4 linked regions of the Saccharomyces cerevisiae S288C genome follow. Changing the gene in region 4 together with the main gene of any one other region gives a genetic interaction. Each region holds a gene or a part of one and is shown on either strand. Other genes may lie near its edges.

Region 1 (4,405 bases), on a different chromosome or scaffold from region 4:
CAAGGCCAGATACACTGTCAGAACTTTCGGTATCAGAAGAAACGAAAAAATTGCTGTTCACGTTACCGTCAGAGGTCCAAAGGCTGAAGAAATTTTGGAAAGAGGTTTGAAGGTCAAGGAATACCAATTGAGAGACAGAAACTTCTCTGCTACCGGTAACTTCGGTTTCGGTATTGACGAACACATTGACTTGGGTATCAAGTATGACCCATCCATCGGTATTTTCGGTATGGATTTCTATGTCGTCATGAACAGACCAGGTGCTAGAGTCACTAGAAGAAAGAGATGTAAGGGTACTGTTGGTAACTCCCACAAGACAACTAAGGAAGACACCGTCTCTTGGTTCAAGCAAAAGTACGACGCTGATGTGCTCGATAAATAATTTGGTCTCGGTATAGTCAGTGACAACATCAACTACTTAATATATAAGAACAAATAAAATATCCCAAAAATATCATATATCCTCATCACATTTGCAAGTCTAGCGCTTCGATGCGTTGTGAACACTTTGTCAATGTATTTAGTTGTATTCATACCCAATTTATTGGCACTTATTTGATACTCACCATGCAGGGTAATAGAAAATGTGCTGAAAAAAAGCTAAACCTTTCTTATTAAGAAAATGGGAACCATAACAGTGGTGATTAATGAGGGACCAATACTGTTGATAAGGGCATTGCACCGAGCAACGACCAACAAGAAAATGTTCAGAAGTACAGTTTGGAGACGTTTTGCATCTACCGGCGAAATTGCGAAAGCAAAGCTGGATGAATTCTTGATATACCACAAGACAGATGCGAAACTAAAACCATTCATTTACCGTCCCAAGAATGCTCAGATATTGTTAACTAAAGATATTAGGGATCCAAAAACAAGGGAACCATTACAACCGAGACCTCCCGTAAAGCCACTGTCGAAGCAAACGTTAAATGATTTTATTTATTCGGTTGAACCCAACTCGACAGAACTACTAGATTGGTTCAAAGAATGGACAGGGACCTCCATAAGAAAGCGCGCTATTTGGACGTACATCTCACCAATTCATGTTCAAAAGATGTTGACTGCGTCATTTTTCAAAATCGGTAAATATGCGCACATGGTAGGACTCTTATATGGTATTGAGCACAAGTTTCTCAAAGCGCAAAATCCATCCGTATTTGATATCGAGCATTTTTTTAATACTAATATCATGTGTGCTTTGCATCGAAATAGGTTGAAAGACTATAAAGATGCAGAAATTGCTCAGAGGAAACTGCAGGTTGCTTGGAAAAAGGTATTAAATAGAAAAAATAATACTGGACTAGCAAATATTCTTGTTGCAACATTAGGTAGACAGATTGGATTTACCCCAGAGCTGACGGGCTTGCAACCTGTAGATATTAGTTTACCAGATATCCCCAATTCATCAAGTGGCGCGGAACTAAAGGACTTGCTAAGCAAATACGAGGGGATATACCTTATTGCAAGAACATTATTGGACATCGATCAACACAATGCTCAATATCTAGAATTGCAAGAATTTATACGCCAATATCAAAATGCATTAAGTGAATCCAGCGATCCATACGACACGCATTTGAAAGCGTTGGGACTGTTGGAAACACCACCTCCTCAGGAATCCACCGAAAAAGAGGAAAAATAGTACCAAAACACCCCATAGGAAATATATAAATAAACATACCTGTAAATACTAAAAAGTAGAACACAGTTCGTCACATATATTGCTATTATTGTATTAATTATGTTTATATTTACCCGGGAATCTCTTCACAATTTTCAGTACCTCTCGCTTTTTTCCAATTTTTCAATTTTTTTTTTTCGAGTTTAGTGAAAATGAGTATTCTACAACAAGGCATCACCAGCTATAGATAATCAGCGTAAGTGCATAAGATCTTATTTTCACCACGTAAGAAATACGTTGTCAAAGAAGCGTCGATAATCAAATTGCTATGAGCGAATCGGAAGCCAAATCTAGGTCGGCTACACCGCCAAGTAAAGCTAAACAAGCTACTCCAACAACTACAGCTGCAGCTAATGGAGAAAAGAAATTAACAAACAAGGAGCTAAAAGAACTAAAGAAACAAGAAAAAGCTGCAAAGAGAGCTGCAATGAAGCAGGCTAATGGTATATCCATTGAACAACAGCAACAACAAGCACAAATGAAAAAAGAGAAGAAACAACTACAACGTGAGCAACAACAGAAAAGAGAGCAAAAGCAAAAAAATGCCAATAAAAAAAAACAAAATGAACGAAACGTGAAAAAGAGCACACTTTTTGGTCATCTGGAAACTACTGAAGAAAGAAGAGCGACAATTTTAGCTTTAACCAGTGCAGTATCATCTCCAAAAACTTCGCGAATCACCGCTGCTGGGTTGATGGTCCCCGTGGTGGCTAGTGCATTATCAGGATCTAACGTATTAACGGCTTCTTCCTTGATGCCCGTGGGTCCAAACGCGTCGTCTACTGTATCTGCATCAGCTCCAGCTTCAACAACAACGACTCTTCCTGCCTCTTCTGCAGCACTCTCTGCCGGTACCAGTTCTGCGTCAACAAATACTCCAACAGCTATACAACAAGAGATTGCTTCATCAAACGCTTCTGATGTTGCCAAGACATTGGCATCTATCTCGTTAGAGGCTGGTGAGTTTAATGTCATTCCCGGTATATCGTCAGTGATCCCTACCGTGTTAGAACAATCATTTGACAACTCCAGCTTGATATCGTCTGTTAAGGAACTTTTATTGAATAAAGACCTTATCCATCCGTCGATATTATTATTAACTTCTCATCTAGCACACTATAAAATCGTGGGATCCATCCCACGTTGCATAGCCATGCTAGAGGTTTTCCAAATTGTTATCAAAGACTATCAAACACCTAAGGGAACTACCTTGTCACGTAACTTAACAAGTTATTTGTCACACCAGATTGATCTTTTGAAAAAAGCTAGACCTTTAAGTGTTACTATGGGTAATGCTATCAGATGGTTAAAGCAAGAAATTTCATTAATTGACCCATCTACCCCCGACAAAGCCGCCAAAAAAGACCTTTGTGAGAAAATTGGGCAGTTTGCTAAAGAAAAAATCGAACTGGCTGATCAACTAATTATAGACAATGCCTCTACACAAATTGAAGAATCTACTACTATTGTGACATATGGTTCATCAAAGGTTCTAACTGAACTGTTACTGCATAATGCAATCAGTTTAAAGAAAAACATCAAAGTGATTGTCGTCGATTCGAGACCACTATTTGAAGGGCGGAAAATGGCAGAAACTTTAAGAAATGCTGGTGTCAATGTTATGTATGCACTTATTACAAGTTTGGATACGATATTCAATATGGATGTGGACTATGTGTTTTTAGGAGCCCATTCTATCCTATCTAATGGGTTCCTATATTCAAGAGCTGGGACAGCAATGTTGGCTATGAGCGCTAAGAGAAGAAATATACCTGTATTAGTCTGCTGCGAAAGTTTGAAGTTTTCACAAAGAGTACAATTGGATAGTGTCACATTTAATGAACTGGCAGATCCAAATGACCTGGTTAATATAGATTACGAAAATCCAGTCGAGAGACGCGGTAATAAAGGTGCGTTATTAAACCAATTTATCAAAGAAAGAAAATTTGAAAAGAAAAAGCTAGCAATGGAGAATAAGCCAAAGGGTAATAAAATTGGCGGTAAGAAAGGATCTGAAGGAGAAAGCAAGGACGCCAGTAATGAAGAAGACAGCAACAGCAAAAATATTTTGGATGGTTGGCAAGAGTTACCTTCGTTAAATATTGTCAACATCTTATACGATTTAACACCACCAGAATATATTAAAAAAGTGATCACTGAATTCGGCGCTTTGCCACCTTCATCTGTCCCTGTTATTTTAAGAGAGTACAAAGGTTCCGCATAAGCATATACAACATTCGTTAATGGTCGTCCACGTGTGTATACTACATATATATTATATATATATATATATATACATATATATATATATTACACCTAATACGATGAAAAAATACATCTAATGAAAAGAATTGTTTTTATCCTTAGCTTTCCAAAAAGCTTGGTATATATAACAAGATTTAGGCTAGAGAAATGATGTAATTATATAGGGCTATATACAGAGTAAAAGAAACAAAAACGGAGAAAAAAAGCAAGCAAAATGTTACTCTCAGTCATCGATATCGTTAGCTTCAGCAACCGCATCAGATTCGGCCTTGCTTCCAACAACTCCTTTAACGAAAGAAGCCACATTAGCAGGAGGCAAGATGGCAATCATTAATATAATATATTCGTAAATGGCTTCAGGAATGGATCTTTGGTAAATTCCCAATAAATCGGCTGGCTGAGGGTATACAGTCAATGCTTTATAAAACTTAGAGGCTGCTTCCAGTTCCTTACCTTGTT
Region 2 (4,898 bases), on a different chromosome or scaffold from region 4:
AGGAACAATTCTATTAAATTCACTTCAAACATCAAACGTAAACAATACAAACAGAACTCTTCATGGATGATGGGTTTTAAAAAATTAGTCAAGACATAATTCTTAAAGTTCATAGTCTCATTTTTCATTTTCTTTTTGCCTGCTTTCTCTTTTATACATCGCCGCATAATTTACTAAACGCCCTTTGTGTTTGTGGGCGGAAAGAAATATATTCCCTTAAAATTTCCAGGAAATTATGTTGCTACAATGACTTATAAAGGGAAAAAATAAGAAGAGAAATCTTGGAAGAATACCCTAGTAAAATAGTGTACAAGGCAAAGTTCTTAATTATGCAAAATCGCCGTATATGAAATAGAACAACTTTTTATACAGCTTAAATACAGAATTCAAGTATGTTAATCAACATGAAAGAAAAAAAAAAAAAAATGCGAGTCATGAAACTACACGTTTTTTTCAGAGAATATTATCCATCTTGTGCTATGTATAATATACACTTATGCTTATTACAAAACTAATATGTTAAACAATTGAAAGATTTGTGTTTTTTTTCGGCCTTGCCTTCTCAACTAGGATTCAGTGGCAGGACTGACCCATTATCGGTAGAACCTCCTGACGTCATATCATGCTCGCTCGTCTTCTTAGCCTCATTATGCAGTGTATCTGCCTTTTTATCCAACAGTTCGTTAAAAAAATCGTATCCTCCGCTATGGGAACCTAGGCTGCTATCTTCTGTATGTGAGCCAATCCCTTGATGTACCACTTGAGGCTTGGCACCATCATTTTCAGCTGACTTTTCAACTGGAGGATTTGGATTCGTAGTAGCCAAGGATCTTAACGTTTCCCAAAAATCCAGGCCGTCTTCATCTCTCAATGGAGTATCAGATCTGGATGTAGTCCTTGATATCTCCGACTGATCAATGTGATTGAATTTATTGGTTGTCACAGATGATGAAGAATGATGCTGAGATGATTCACTTTTTCTTTTTTCTTTTTTCTTAGTTTTACTGCCGTTACTTCTTACTGAATTTGGAGATGGATTGAGTAACTTATTCAAGTCAGCACCTCTTGTCGCATCTGATGAGCCTAAATGAGGCCGTATAGTTGGTGGCAAATAGTTGAAATGCGCTATTCTATTAGGACCTACATCAGGTGGCATTTCTGAACCGCTCGTTGTATATGATGCCGTCGAACTTGGTGCCTTGCCATTTGTTCCATTGAAATTCGGTGACATACTATTAGCACTAACGTTTCCTTGAATGATTTCATTATTTGTAGCGGTAGAATTAGTTGGGATCAATGTATTTGCTTGAGGATAAAATACAGACGGGCTGTTTGTTTCTCTATTGCTTTGTGAACCAAGTTCATTTGCATTGTCAGCGGGATTGTGTGAAGTTGCTTCCAAGCTGAATGCGTTATAGTTGGGTGTTCTTGATAAAAAATCGCTATCCATGTTGTCCAGAGAAGTCCTATATTCTGGGTTAAAAGTGTCACTATTTGAATTTAACCCTGGAAGACCATTTCCCAGTTGTCTACCCATATGTGGGAAACTATCCATTAATAGAGGGTTTCCATTTATATTTCCTATATTTGACAATCCAGTATTGCTGCTGACAGGATGGTCTGTGGATGTAACATAATGATTGTGAATATGTTGATGTATCGAAATTTTTAAAGAGTACTTCTTAGCTTGGTCAACCAATTCTTTTACTAATTTTGTGCTGTCAATAGTTCCGTTAGAAATTGACAAACCTTGACCATCTTTTAATGTAAATTTCCATTGTGTGCTAGAGGAATTTGGTTCTCTAGTTTTCACAGTAGAATAAGCATGCTTCGGAGAATCTGAAATACTATTACTATTCATCATATGCTCATCGAGAGATGCTGGATTGAATGCTGGGGGAAGGCTTGTCTGTGGGCTATCTGAGATTCCTCCAGGACTTTGCTTGTTCATTTGAGAAAGACCTTCAATTGGTAAAGATACTTTGCTCCTAATGCTACCACTGGTATGAGTCTGACCGACTTGCGTCATCCTGATTGGTGGAGGTGCAGATATCTCTTTTAAGGGAGGTAATGCTTGTGGCTTGCTGTCATTTAAAATGGGTCCATCATTATCCTTTAATCTTGGTAGTTTGCTCGATTCGTTCTCTTTAACATTCAATATATCCTGCTTTATCAATGAAGGGTTGTTCTGTTGAGATAGCTGCAACTGTTCTTCTTTATTCGGTGTAGAATCTGAGCGTATATCAGAATCGGCGATTGGATGTTGTCGGAGTTTTCCGTCTGTCATGTCTATGTTCTTGTTTTCTTTTATAGCCTTTGTTATTACTTCTGATGCTTGTCCTCGCACAACCATAGTAATAATTTTCCGCCATCTGTTCCTGCACGTTAAACTTGGTCTGAATTCCATTTCCGACGAAATCTTTCTCCATTTCGTGCCGTATGCCTTCACTTTACTTATCAGATTTAAATCTTCCTCGAGCGTCCATTCTCTTAATCTACCTTTACTTCCAGGTCCCAACACTTCAATGTACCTTTTCGCACATTGATCCTCTGTTCTTCCAGGGATATCCATGGAGATACTCAGCCAGTGAGGCCCATGTTCTTCATAAGCTTTCAAGAGCTGCTCATCCTCTTCTTGTGTCCATTTACCTTTCTTCAAGTTTGGGTCCAGAGATCCTGTCCAACGCTTTCTTACATCCTTTGAAGTTCTTACGGTGTGTTTGAATCGTGTAGCTAAAACATCCCAAGCAATACATTTAGAAAGATGGTTGGATTGTTGAATTGTTTTTACGTCTTCAAGTCCATTCTCATAGCCTAACTCCTTTGCGGATTCGTTTACTAGCGATCGTAGCATATTATCGTCGTCCTTTGACCATGAATTTCTTCCATTTTTCCTGTGTGTCTGATAGCCAAGTGATTCAGTCACTTCAAGTAAATCGAAGCCGGATCCTCTTTTTGGCTTACTTTTTCGTATATCTTTGGTACTTATATTCGACATTCTCGATAAAATGTATTCTGCGATAAAAAAAAAAGAGCAAAAACGCTACAACAAAAGTTTTAAACAAAACTAATTTTGTTTACCCCACTAGAGATCAACAATTGTTGCAGAGAACGATTCAAATCAGCAAACCGGATTATCAGAAAGCAAATAATTAAACACAAAAAACGTACACTAGTCCTTTATAGTAAACTAATAAGAAAAATTTCTTATTATATAAATATAGCTGGTTAATTTCGATTGCTTTAAAGTTTCCTGGGGCTTTATTCTGTGACTGGACCCTATTTCTTCTAAAGGTCTTAACATAATTACTCATTCTCATTTTTTATTTTTTTCTTCGTCTGGCTCATCGCATTGTTCGGACCAAAAAAAAAAAAAAAAAGAAAAAAAGAAAAAAAAAAATAGTTTCTCCGTTGCACATCGTCAAAGGTGATTTCCCCACATCTATTATAAAGTTTTTCCGGAGTGCTTAAAAAAGGGATTGACATTTCTTCGAGAATTAGTTGAGAAACCCTTTTAGATTGTGCGCTGAGTAATCATTAGGTTGATTATAAGCTCTGAAAGGTTACTGCTACTGCTAGTAGTCTTTCAGGATCTTCAGTAAACTAAATAACCGTGGCATTGATCTTACTTTCCGTTTTCTTTTCGCTAAATCGGAAGTCATAAAGACAATGTTATTAAACCCAGATCAAATTCTAAACCTAGTTCGAAAAGTATATGAAGTAGATATTAAACAGTTTTATTCGCAATTACGGCTAAAGAACTTAAGAGGATTGTTAGACCATGCTGCTCATCTGTTTAATGTTTACCTGAGGGATTTAGAAATCAATCAGGAAATGGAAGCTTTGACAGCATTTATTATTGGTTGTTATTATCTGTACCTTATTATTCCACAATCGTTACAATTCCAAACAAGAAATAATCTCTACAGCAGTTACGCAAAGCTAAAAAACGACTATCAAGACGAACACGTGATGGGTTATGTGTTAAAAGTGGTAAGAGATGAAAGTACTGTTATTGTTGACCGGTATTTAGCGGAGTCAAACGGAATTTGCAGGACCATAAAAAGAAAAAGAGCCTACTCCTTACCGCTACGGCCTTTACCTGTTCATATGGCCTCTTTGTCAATACATAACAAGTTTGATGGCTCACTACATGAAATACCGAATGAGCTAACAAAACCAACAAATGATAATTCGAAAGAGGACATAGTCAGGGAAAGTAATCAGATAGCATCAAGTAATAAATTGGAAGCTGGTTCTGAAGTGGCGTACTACACAAGCAAAGAAGCATTATCAAAACCCTCGTATTTAAAACTCAGTACTGGAAAGGATGCATTATTCAAAACGCTGTCTAGTCCAGCAACTGCTCCCCCCGTGCACTCCTTGGAGGTTTCGTCACAAATCAGAGATTCTAGCCAAGATTCTTCATCCTCTTTATCCAAGGTGGAAAAGCCAAAGGAGGAAGAAGGAAAGATCGAGGCCATAGAATCTTCGGCCCCGAAAGCTTACAATCTACCAGTAATTGAAGATTCTAATGATCTGTTATCAGAGTTATCTATTACTGGCCTGCAAAATCCATGCAATACATGCTATATTAACAGTATAATTCAATGTCTGTTTGGCACTACCTTATTTCGGGATTTGTTTTTAACCAAGAAATATAGGCTATTCCTCAATACTAACAAATATCCGAAAGAAGTCCAACTTTCCCGCTCGATTTACGTTTTGTTCAAAAAAATGTATTTGAATGGAGGAAGAGCGATTATACCAAATAGATTCTTAAAAATGTGCAAGAAGTTAAGGCCAGATTTGAACATCCCAGATGATCAACAGGATACACAGGAATTTCTACTAATAGTTTTAGCACGAATACATGAAGAGCTCTCGAACGAAAATGT
Region 3 (2,856 bases), on a different chromosome or scaffold from region 4:
GAAGTGATATTAGAGTTTAACGCCATAAATAGTTCTTTATCTTTGACGTCGAATCCCAGCAATTTTATCATGAAATAAATGTAGATCGAGTTGACTTCCACTGGCAAAAAATATTCTAAAAAAGTTTTCAAATCGTTGTCCTTCAAAAACAGTCTTGCATTCATAACATCATCTTTAGTGATTGCAGGAAAGATGAATTTGCCCGTCACCTTATCCTTCCCGAGGATACAAGGGTACGTTAATCTCGTTTTCAGCTTCTTCGTAGCATTATTATCTGACTCTTCTTCTTGAGGTCTTTTCAACATTGTCATGGTCAGCTCTCCAACATGAAAGTATCGCCCTTGACTAACCACCAAAATAAAACTAACTATCCGTTGCATTAGCAATATGTTCATTTAGATTTTTTTTTCTCACAAAAACAACAAAAAAGAAGAGAAGTGTTCGTATCACTACCAACGAGGGTTATCACAACATAGCAATAGTGAGAGTCAGAAGTACTTTTAGCTACCATTACCGTACTCACCATACCCTCCGTACTCGAAGGAGCTCAACCTCTTTGCTGGCGGTCTTACTGAGTCATCATTTGTTGCGGCCAGCGGTCCCACGCCAATCCTGGACAGGGCGACTTCAGCGCTGGTGTTCTCTAAGTTTATATCGTTGACAATGGTGCCTGTCTGCTTGGCCAACTGAGTGGCCTTCACCATCAGTTCCACCTCCTCTCTGTTCTGTGTGTCCACTTGATTTTGTAGATGTGATATGTACTCTACCGCCTGTGTGAGAATTTGGCCCTTGTTGGGCTTTCCGTCCTTGGTCCCTGTACCTTTGGCCTTGCTGGACAACCCAAGCGCACCGGGAGTGGATTCACTTAACGTGTCATTGCTACCAGAATTGCCGTAATAATCTCTAAAGAAGTCTTTGGGAATGATACTCAATAGTTCTTGAATACGGTCGTTGATCTTATCTCTGCGCTTGCGGTCATTCTTGAAATTAGCACCGCAGGACCCAGGATCAGTGCCAGCTGGAATGCTGCTCATGTTTGGTGTTGTGCTTTCTTTTGGTTCACTATCTAGTGTTTTTTGTCTGTGTTGTGGTTGAAGTTAATTCCATTCTTTTTACTCAAAATTTTCGGTGGCGCCTTTTTCCGTTTCCAGTAATGAGTGGTTATTGTAGATATGATGTAAGATTACATGATAATATATATGCTAAATAGTCTAAGCTTTGTCGTCACTATTATCGTGGCCTTTGAAGGCAATGATGGTGCACTCCTCCTCGTAGCCTGGTATTTGTATGTAGTTCACACCGTGCGATTCCAGCTTGTTCAAACTTGTATTGTTTTTAACAAATGTATCGGGCTCCATAACCCCCACGAAGACAGTACCAATGGCACCTTGGGTGGCCAGGATTCTATCGCAGCAAGGCTCATTGCCACTTAGCCTGAAGGAACAGGGTTCCATGGTTGTATAGAGCACTGTTCCCATAGGGACTATAGTGGGACAGTTCGGGTGTAACTGCGAGTACTTTATCAAAGCACACTGTTCTGCATGAGTGTTTCCTGGTAGCTCTCTTGAATATCCTGTGGCAAGTACTTGAGTTCCATGAACAAGAACGGCACCAACACTAAAAGCAGTCTTTGTCGGGCCACACTTACCAGCTTCCTTAACGGCCATTTCCATATATCGGCGATGTGGCTCTAAGGCCCATTCAGGGTATTTTGTTCTATAACTCCAGAGAGGTTTTTGCGTATCCGAATTTCTTTCCAATGACTCGTACCGGAAGGCATGCAGCCAGAGGTCGAGATCATTAGTACCGGGATCTGTGTACATTTCAGCCTCGCATTCTTCGCACTGACGGCCAAGCAAGTATTCACCCTCGCTATGAGGATGAATCCAGCTCTCTGCAGGATTAGTCTTGCCAATAGCGTCTAGTTTCAGAACGATGTCATCATAGTTTTGAAGTCCACCGCGGCCCAAATCTGGACCCCAGATATCTGGGTTCGAGTATATAGGGTCATTTGCTATGGGAAATCCCAAGTACTGCAAATGGACTCTTATTTGGTGAGTTCTACCTGTCAATGGTTTACACTTTACAATACTCGTCTGTCCATCATAGCTAACCCTTTGGAAAACGGTCTTGGCATGTTTAGCGTTTTCATCGCTCATCTCGCAAACAGCGTTTAGTGCAACTTTAGGGTTAACAGATCTGACAGGCTTATCTACCTCTACTATACCTATAGGGAACTCGCCCTTCACGCGGGCTACGTATTCTTTGGTGACTTCCCTCGCTTTCATTTGGTCTCCCATTCTATCTGCACCTAATGGAGTCTTGGCTAAAAACATTAGTCCACTAGTTGGCTTGTCTAGTCTATTACATGGATGTACTGAATAACCTAGCTGTCTTTCTAGCATTTTTGTAATGGTATTGAATCTGTATCTGCCCGTTGGGTGCACTGGAATACTGCTGGGTTTATCAATGACAAGGATATCTTCGTCTTCAAACACAATATCTATTGGTTTAGATGTGACTGGCGGTTCATGTCGATGTACTTTATGTGTGATCAGATCACCGTCACGAATGATGGTATCAAGGTTTGCAGGTTCATCGTTTAAGTATACTTTTCCCTCTGCAATGGTTTTGGAATAATAGCTGGGCTCTCGATCCCTGAATTCGCTCACGAATACATCCACCAACTTACGATCTCTCCACCTCTCCTTACAGAAAGTTTTATAAGTGAAAAAATAAGGCTCAATCTTCCTTAAGGGTCCATCAATTGTCACTTCATAATCAGGGTCTGTCTTTTTAGTTTTGTGCCCATCGGTTTGAATAACTCTCAGTCTGAATCCACTCGCATCTTTGACT
Region 4 (7,499 bases):
CATCGTTACATTGTATCAGTCACAGGTACGGAGAGAAATTATACTTTTCGATTTCATTCAATGTAGTTTCTTTTTTACATTAAATATAGTTTTCCAGTAGTGCACTATTATTAAGGCGCTTCTGTTTTTAGTCAACACTTTTTCAGATAGTACCTTTCAGGTGGTTAGAGTGCGATCCCTTTAAAAAAAAGTATTCGTCAACGATGACAGGGTAAAGAATAAATGCAGCACGCCTGGCGTATACTGCTATAATTGTACATCATGTTATCGGCGTTGATTCTCAATTGTTTGGTGATTAGCTTTTATATATAGATAGAAACCCAACGTTGGATAACCTCACGACTAACTTTTTTGTATTTTAGAAATAATTTGTCGATCGGTTGTATATTTTTGTCATATATTATCTAGAAACGTTAGGGAATAAACTGTTATCTAGGGTCCACTAACATACGCGCAGTTCGGAAATCAGCAAACATCACTTAAAGGACACCTGCTATAAACTGAATTGTGTCCAATTTTTCGAGTAGTTAGCAGTTCAATAAAGGGCACGTTATCAATTGTTAAAGGCAAAGAATCAGAATTAAATCATAGCAAACGACCAAAATGAACAGAGTTTCGTTTATTAAAACGCCTTTCAACATAGGGGCGAAATGGAGATTAGAAGATGTCTTTTTGCTCATTATCATGATACTTCTTAACTACCCAGTGTATTACCAACAACCGTTCGAACGTCAGTTTTACATTAACGATCTCACTATATCGCATCCTTATGCGACAACTGAACGTGTAAATAACAACATGTTGTTTGTTTATAGTTTTGTCGTGCCATCTTTAACCATATTGATAATTGGTTCCATTTTGGCCGATAGAAGACATTTGATTTTTATTTTGTACACATCTCTCCTTGGTTTATCACTCGCTTGGTTCAGTACGAGTTTCTTTACAAACTTCATCAAGAATTGGATTGGAAGACTAAGACCAGATTTTCTAGATCGTTGCCAACCTGTTGAAGGCTTGCCATTGGACACTTTATTTACTGCAAAAGATGTGTGTACGACTAAGAATCACGAACGTCTGTTGGATGGGTTTAGGACAACTCCGTCAGGTCATTCAAGTGAAAGCTTTGCAGGACTGGGTTATTTGTACTTCTGGCTATGTGGGCAACTTTTGACTGAATCACCGTTGATGCCTTTATGGAGAAAAATGGTGGCCTTTCTACCACTGTTAGGAGCTGCACTAATTGCTCTATCCAGAACTCAAGATTACAGACATCATTTCGTCGATGTAATTTTAGGGTCTATGTTGGGTTATATAATGGCACACTTTTTCTACAGAAGAATCTTCCCACCCATTGATGATCCTCTTCCGTTCAAACCATTGATGGACGATTCAGATGTCACCCTGGAGGAAGCAGTCACCCATCAGAGGATCCCGGATGAGGAATTACATCCTTTGTCCGATGAAGGTATGTAAGAATAAAAAAGAATATATACTCCACATGACATACGAAATATACGTATTTATTGTTCTGTATGGAATAACAGCGATTACATAAAGATGACATGTTACTTCTTTATTCAAATTAATCTTGACGTGCAAGGGCCTGCTTGTTATTTCATCGGACAATCCCAACATCACTTTACACGAAAGCCTTAGAAGTTTATTATTTGTTTTAAGTTGGACTATAGTGATGTAGGTAGTTTCTTAGGAAGCAGTTGAGTAGCTGATTTTTGAGATAAGAACCTGGTGTAATCAATCTATAAACAGCCTAGAATCTTTTTAAGCAAATTTACTTTTACATTTATCTCTATCTTCTTTCTTACAAGAAGTTATTTTCATTACAAAAGGACATTAAATACACTAAATTTTCAATCTTTACATTGTTGGAAAGCCTCGTTGTCTTTTAAGATTTTATAAGCATTGATTTTTTTTTTCAATAATTTTCCGTTCCCCTTAACACATACTATGTATAAATGTCATTGAGTCATCTCACTTTAGATCAATATTATGAAATACAGTGCAACGAACTTGAAGCGATACGTTCCATTTATATGGATGACTTTACTGACTTAACTAAAAGAAAGTCTAGCTGGGATAAGCAGCCACAGATTATATTCGAAATTACGCTTCGATCTGTTGACAAAGAGCCGGTTGAATCTTCTATAACATTACATTTTGCGATGACCCCAATGTATCCTTATACCGCTCCAGAAATAGAATTCAAAAATGTACAAAATGTAATGGATAGTCAATTGCAAATGCTGAAAAGTGAATTTAAGAAAATCCACAACACCTCCCGAGGCCAAGAGATTATATTTGAAATTACATCTTTTACTCAAGAAAAACTGGACGAATTTCAAAATGTGGTAAATACACAGTCCTTGGAAGATGATCGATTACAAAGAATCAAAGAAACTAAAGAACAATTAGAAAAGGAAGAAAGAGAAAAACAACAGGAAACAATAAAAAAAAGATCAGATGAGCAGCGAAGGATAGATGAAATTGTTCAAAGAGAGTTGGAGAAAAGACAAGATGATGATGATGATTTGCTATTCAACAGAACAACCCAGTTAGATTTACAACCACCTTCAGAATGGGTTGCATCAGGTGAAGCTATTGTCTTTTCAAAAACTATAAAGGCAAAATTGCCTAATAACTCAATGTTCAAGTTTAAAGCAGTTGTAAATCCTAAGCCAATAAAACTGACATCAGATATATTTAGTTTTTCCAAACAATTTCTTGTGAAGCCTTATATACCACCAGAATCTCCGTTGGCAGATTTTTTAATGTCTTCTGAAATGATGGAAAATTTCTACTATTTGCTATCTGAAATTGAATTGGATAATAGCTATTTCAACACAAGTAATGGAAAAAAAGAAATAGCAAATTTAGAGAAAGAGTTAGAGACGGTGTTGAAAGCTAAGCATGACAATGTGAATCGATTGTTCGGTTATACGGTGGAGCGCATGGGGAGAAATAATGCAACGTTTGTTTGGAAAATAAGACTCTTGACAGAGTACTGTAACTACTATCCATTGGGAGATTTGATACAATCTGTTGGATTTGTTAACTTAGCAACAGCGCGTATTTGGATGATTAGATTGCTTGAAGGATTGGAGGCCATACACAAATTGGGAATTGTTCATAAATGTATCAACTTAGAAACCGTGATCCTGGTGAAGGATGCAGATTTTGGAAGCACTATTCCCAAGTTAGTTCACTCCACTTATGGCTACACTGTTTTGAATATGCTATCGAGATATCCAAATAAAAATGGTTCTTCGGTTGAGTTATCTCCAAGTACATGGATAGCCCCTGAGTTGTTGAAATTCAATAACGCCAAACCTCAAAGATTAACTGATATTTGGCAACTTGGTGTTTTGTTTATCCAGATAATCAGTGGATCTGATATAGTGATGAATTTTGAAACGCCTCAAGAATTCCTAGATTCAACAAGTATGGATGAAACTTTATATGATCTTCTTTCGAAAATGCTTAATAACGATCCGAAGAAAAGATTAGGAACATTAGAACTACTGCCCATGAAATTCTTAAGGACCAATATTGACTCTACAATCAATCGATTTAACTTAGTTTCCGAAAGTGTCAATTCTAATTCCTTGGAGTTAACTCCTGGAGATACCATAACCGTTCGGGGCAATGGAGGTAGAACACTTTCACAATCGAGTATACGAAGAAGATCATTTAATGTTGGTTCCAGATTCTCTTCTATAAATCCTGCAACGCGATCACGATATGCTTCTGACTTTGAAGAGATTGCAGTTTTAGGCCAGGGCGCATTTGGACAAGTTGTCAAGGCACGTAATGCTCTCGATAGCAGATACTATGCGATCAAGAAGATTAGACATACAGAAGAAAAGTTATCTACTATATTGAGTGAAGTAATGCTGTTAGCAAGCTTAAATCATCAATATGTTGTGCGTTACTATGCTGCATGGTTAGAAGAAGACAGTATGGATGAAAACGTTTTTGAATCAACTGATGAAGAAAGTGACTTGAGCGAATCTTCCTCTGATTTTGAGGAAAATGATTTATTAGATCAAAGCAGTATTTTTAAAAATAGAACAAATCACGATTTGGATAATAGTAACTGGGATTTCATATCGGGGTCAGGATATCCGGATATTGTCTTTGAAAATAGTTCTCGTGATGATGAAAATGAAGATCTAGACCATGATACTTCCTCGACTTCCTCGAGCGAAAGTCAAGATGATACTGATAAAGAATCAAAGAGTATCCAGAACGTTCCAAGAAGGAGGAATTTTGTAAAACCGATGACTGCTGTTAAGAAGAAAAGTACGCTTTTTATTCAAATGGAGTACTGTGAAAATAGAACGCTATATGATTTGATCCATTCTGAAAATTTAAATCAACAACGTGATGAATATTGGAGGTTATTTCGACAAATTTTGGAAGCACTGAGTTATATACATTCCCAGGGTATCATTCATAGGGATCTGAAGCCAATGAATATTTTTATAGATGAATCGAGAAATGTTAAAATCGGTGATTTTGGGTTAGCTAAGAACGTCCATAGATCTCTGGATATACTTAAGCTAGATTCACAGAATTTGCCAGGCAGCTCAGATAATTTAACATCCGCCATTGGTACAGCAATGTATGTTGCTACTGAAGTTTTAGATGGTACAGGTCACTATAATGAAAAGATTGATATGTATTCACTTGGAATCATTTTTTTTGAAATGATCTATCCTTTCAGTACAGGTATGGAGAGAGTTAATATTTTGAAAAAGTTACGATCAGTGTCGATAGAATTTCCTCCTGATTTCGACGATAATAAGATGAAAGTTGAAAAGAAAATTATAAGGTTACTCATAGACCATGATCCCAATAAAAGGCCTGGTGCTAGGACATTATTAAATAGTGGTTGGCTTCCTGTGAAGCATCAGGATGAAGTAATCAAAGAGGCTTTAAAAAGTTTGTCGAATCCTTCATCCCCTTGGCAACAGCAAGTTCGAGAAAGTTTATTTAACCAATCTTACAGTCTAACAAATGATATTCTATTTGATAACTCAGTTCCAACATCCACTCCTTTCGCAAACATTCTCAGGTCCCAAATGACAGAAGAGGTAGTTAAAATTTTCAGGAAACATGGAGGAATTGAAAATAATGCTCCTCCGAGGATTTTTCCAAAGGCCCCCATATACGGTACGCAGAATGTATATGAAGTGCTTGACAAGGGCGGTACCGTCTTGCAGTTACAATATGATTTAACTTATCCTATGGCTAGGTATCTATCTAAAAATCCAAGTCTGATTTCTAAGCAATATAGGATGCAGCACGTTTACCGACCTCCTGATCATTCAAGGTCAAGTTTGGAACCTAGAAAGTTTGGTGAGATTGACTTCGACATAATTTCAAAATCTTCCTCAGAGTCAGGATTTTATGATGCAGAAAGCTTGAAAATTATCGATGAAATATTAACCGTATTTCCTGTATTTGAGAAAACAAACACTTTTTTCATATTAAATCATGCTGATATTTTGGAGAGTGTTTTCAACTTTACAAATATTGATAAAGCCCAAAGGCCTCTAGTTTCACGAATGTTGTCGCAAGTAGGCTTTGCAAGGTCCTTCAAGGAAGTAAAGAATGAACTAAAGGCGCAACTGAACATATCTTCTACGGCATTGAATGATTTGGAGTTATTTGATTTTAGACTGGACTTCGAAGCAGCCAAAAAACGCCTGTATAAATTGATGATTGATAGTCCGCATCTAAAAAAAATTGAGGACTCTTTGTCCCATATATCAAAGGTTCTCAGTTACCTAAAACCCTTAGAAGTTGCAAGAAATGTTGTGATATCTCCTTTGAGTAACTACAATAGCGCTTTTTACAAAGGAGGTATCATGTTTCATGCAGTTTATGACGATGGATCCTCACGTAATATGATAGCTGCTGGAGGGAGGTATGACACTTTGATATCCTTTTTTGCCAGACCATCAGGAAAAAAGAGCAGCAATACTCGTAAGGCTGTAGGTTTCAACTTAGCGTGGGAAACAATATTCGGTATAGCCCAAAACTATTTCAAACTCGCTTCTGGAAATAGGATAAAGAAGAGAAATAGGTTTTTGAAAGATACAGCTGTTGATTGGAAGCCAAGCAGGTGTGATGTATTGATATCGAGTTTTTCGAACTCTTTGTTGGACACAATCGGGGTTACAATACTGAATACATTGTGGAAGCAAAACATTAAAGCGGATATGTTAAGGGATTGTTCCTCGGTGGATGATGTCGTTACTGGCGCTCAACAGGATGGTATAGACTGGATTTTGCTGATTAAGCAACAAGCGTATCCACTAACCAATCACAAGAGAAAGTACAAGCCATTAAAAATAAAAAAATTGAGCACTAATGTTGACATAGATTTAGATCTTGATGAGTTTTTAACCTTGTACCAACAAGAAACTGGTAATAAATCTTTGATCAACGATAGTCTCACTTTGGGCGATAAGGCTGATGAATTTAAAAGATGGGATGAAAACAGCAGTGCCGGTAGTAGTCAAGAAGGTGACATAGATGATGTTGTTGCTGGTTCGACTAATAATCAAAAGGTAATTTATGTTCCAAACATGGCTACAAGATCTAAGAAAGCTAATAAAAGGGAAAAGTGGGTTTATGAGGATGCAGCCAGAAATTCTTCGAATATGATATTACACAATTTATCCAATGCACCAATTATCACTGTTGATGCCTTAAGAGATGAAACTTTAGAAATAATCTCAATTACTTCTTTGGCTCAGAAGGAAGAATGGCTGAGAAAAGTTTTTGGGTCAGGTAATAACTCGACTCCTAGAAGCTTTGCCACGAGCATTTATAATAACCTCTCCAAAGAGGCTCATAAAGGGAATAGGTGGGCAATATTATACTGCCACAAAACCGGAAAATCATCTGTTATCGATTTACAGAGGTAGGCCTTTAAAGATCTGTGCGGCGCTATAACGCATCAGTTAAAGGTAAAGTATATACAATGTCTTAGATACTATATTTAGGCTAGCTGATTCATCTAATTCACCGTTGTAAAGGGGGTAGGTCACCTTTCTTATACATATTCCTGATACTAAAGACAAATGTAGGTTTAATGAGATGGTCTACTTCTTCTCTCCTTTCTCTACTTTCCATTTTGTATTTAATTTTTCGGTGAATATAAATGTGTGCGTATGTTGTGTGAGGCTCCTCTAGCTCCTACGGGAGACATTTAATAAATGATCATAATATGGCGTGAAGAATGCTTTCATTCAGAAGTTTGACTAGCACATTCGGTTTCGTATCACGATTCCAAATTAGACGGTTAGGAACTAGTTTATCAATACAGAATTTAGAAGTGCAAGATGGCCGTTGGAAAGGTAAACTAGCTACAGAGAAGAAGACCAATAGGGAACACAAGTCAGTGGATACGAATATCAAGACAATGAAGATGCTTAAAAACCCGAAGAATTCTACTCGCTATTTGAGACGAA

The links.
Region 1: of GCN2 (region 4) and GCD2, extra expression of one rescues a mutant of the other (dosage rescue), as found in Saccharomyces cerevisiae (5 studies listed by BioGRID, with this or other methods).
Region 2: mutations in GCN2 (region 4) and BAS1 together harm fitness more than expected from each alone (negative genetic interaction), as found in Saccharomyces cerevisiae (4 studies listed by BioGRID).
Region 3: mutations in GCN2 (region 4) and RTG1 together harm fitness more than expected from each alone (negative genetic interaction), as found in Saccharomyces cerevisiae (5 studies listed by BioGRID).

What each region holds. Positions count from the first base shown.
Region 1 is NC_001139.9:644,360-648,764, reverse strand, and holds GCD2 (translation initiation factor eIF2B subunit delta), read left to right. Parts: upstream 1-1,949; coding exon 1,950-3,905; downstream 3,906-4,405. Other genes in the region: 60S ribosomal protein uL5 RPL11B, read left to right, coding at 1-382; mitochondrial 37S ribosomal protein mS44 MRP13, read left to right, coding at 623-1,642; TOM complex receptor protein TOM20, read right to left, coding at 4,170-4,405. UniProt on the Saccharomyces cerevisiae protein: Acts as a component of the translation initiation factor 2B (eIF2B) complex, which catalyzes the exchange of GDP for GTP on the eukaryotic initiation factor 2 (eIF2) complex gamma subunit.
Region 2 is NC_001143.9:633,951-638,848, reverse strand, and holds BAS1 (Bas1p), read right to left. Parts: upstream 2,999-4,898; coding exon 563-2,998; downstream 1-562. Other genes in the region: ubiquitin-specific protease UBP11, read left to right, coding at 3,670-4,898. UniProt on the Saccharomyces cerevisiae protein: Activates HIS4 transcription only in combination with PHO2/BAS2. BAS1 is also involved in the regulation of the purine biosynthesis pathway.
Region 3 is NC_001147.6:201,485-204,340, forward strand, and holds RTG1 (Rtg1p), read right to left. Parts: upstream 1,035-2,856; coding exon 501-1,034; downstream 1-500. Other genes in the region: histone deacetylase HST1, read right to left, coding at 1-395; bifunctional DRAP deaminase/tRNA pseudouridine synthase RIB2, read right to left, coding at 1,212-2,856. UniProt on the Saccharomyces cerevisiae protein: Required for a novel path of interorganelle communication between mitochondria, peroxisomes and the nucleus, thereby maintaining a functional metabolic interaction between the tricarboxylic acid and glyoxylate cycles.
Region 4 is NC_001136.10:1,024,524-1,032,022, reverse strand, and holds GCN2 (serine/threonine-protein kinase GCN2), read left to right. Parts: upstream 1-1,973; coding exon 1,974-6,953; downstream 6,954-7,499. Other genes in the region: DPP1 (bifunctional diacylglycerol diphosphate phosphatase/phosphatidate phosphatase), read left to right, coding at 604-1,473; MRX10 (Mrx10p), read left to right, coding at 7,268-7,499. UniProt on the Saccharomyces cerevisiae protein: Metabolic-stress sensing protein kinase that phosphorylates the alpha subunit of eukaryotic translation initiation factor 2 (eIF-2-alpha/SUI2) on 'Ser-52' in response to low amino acid, carbon, or purine availability.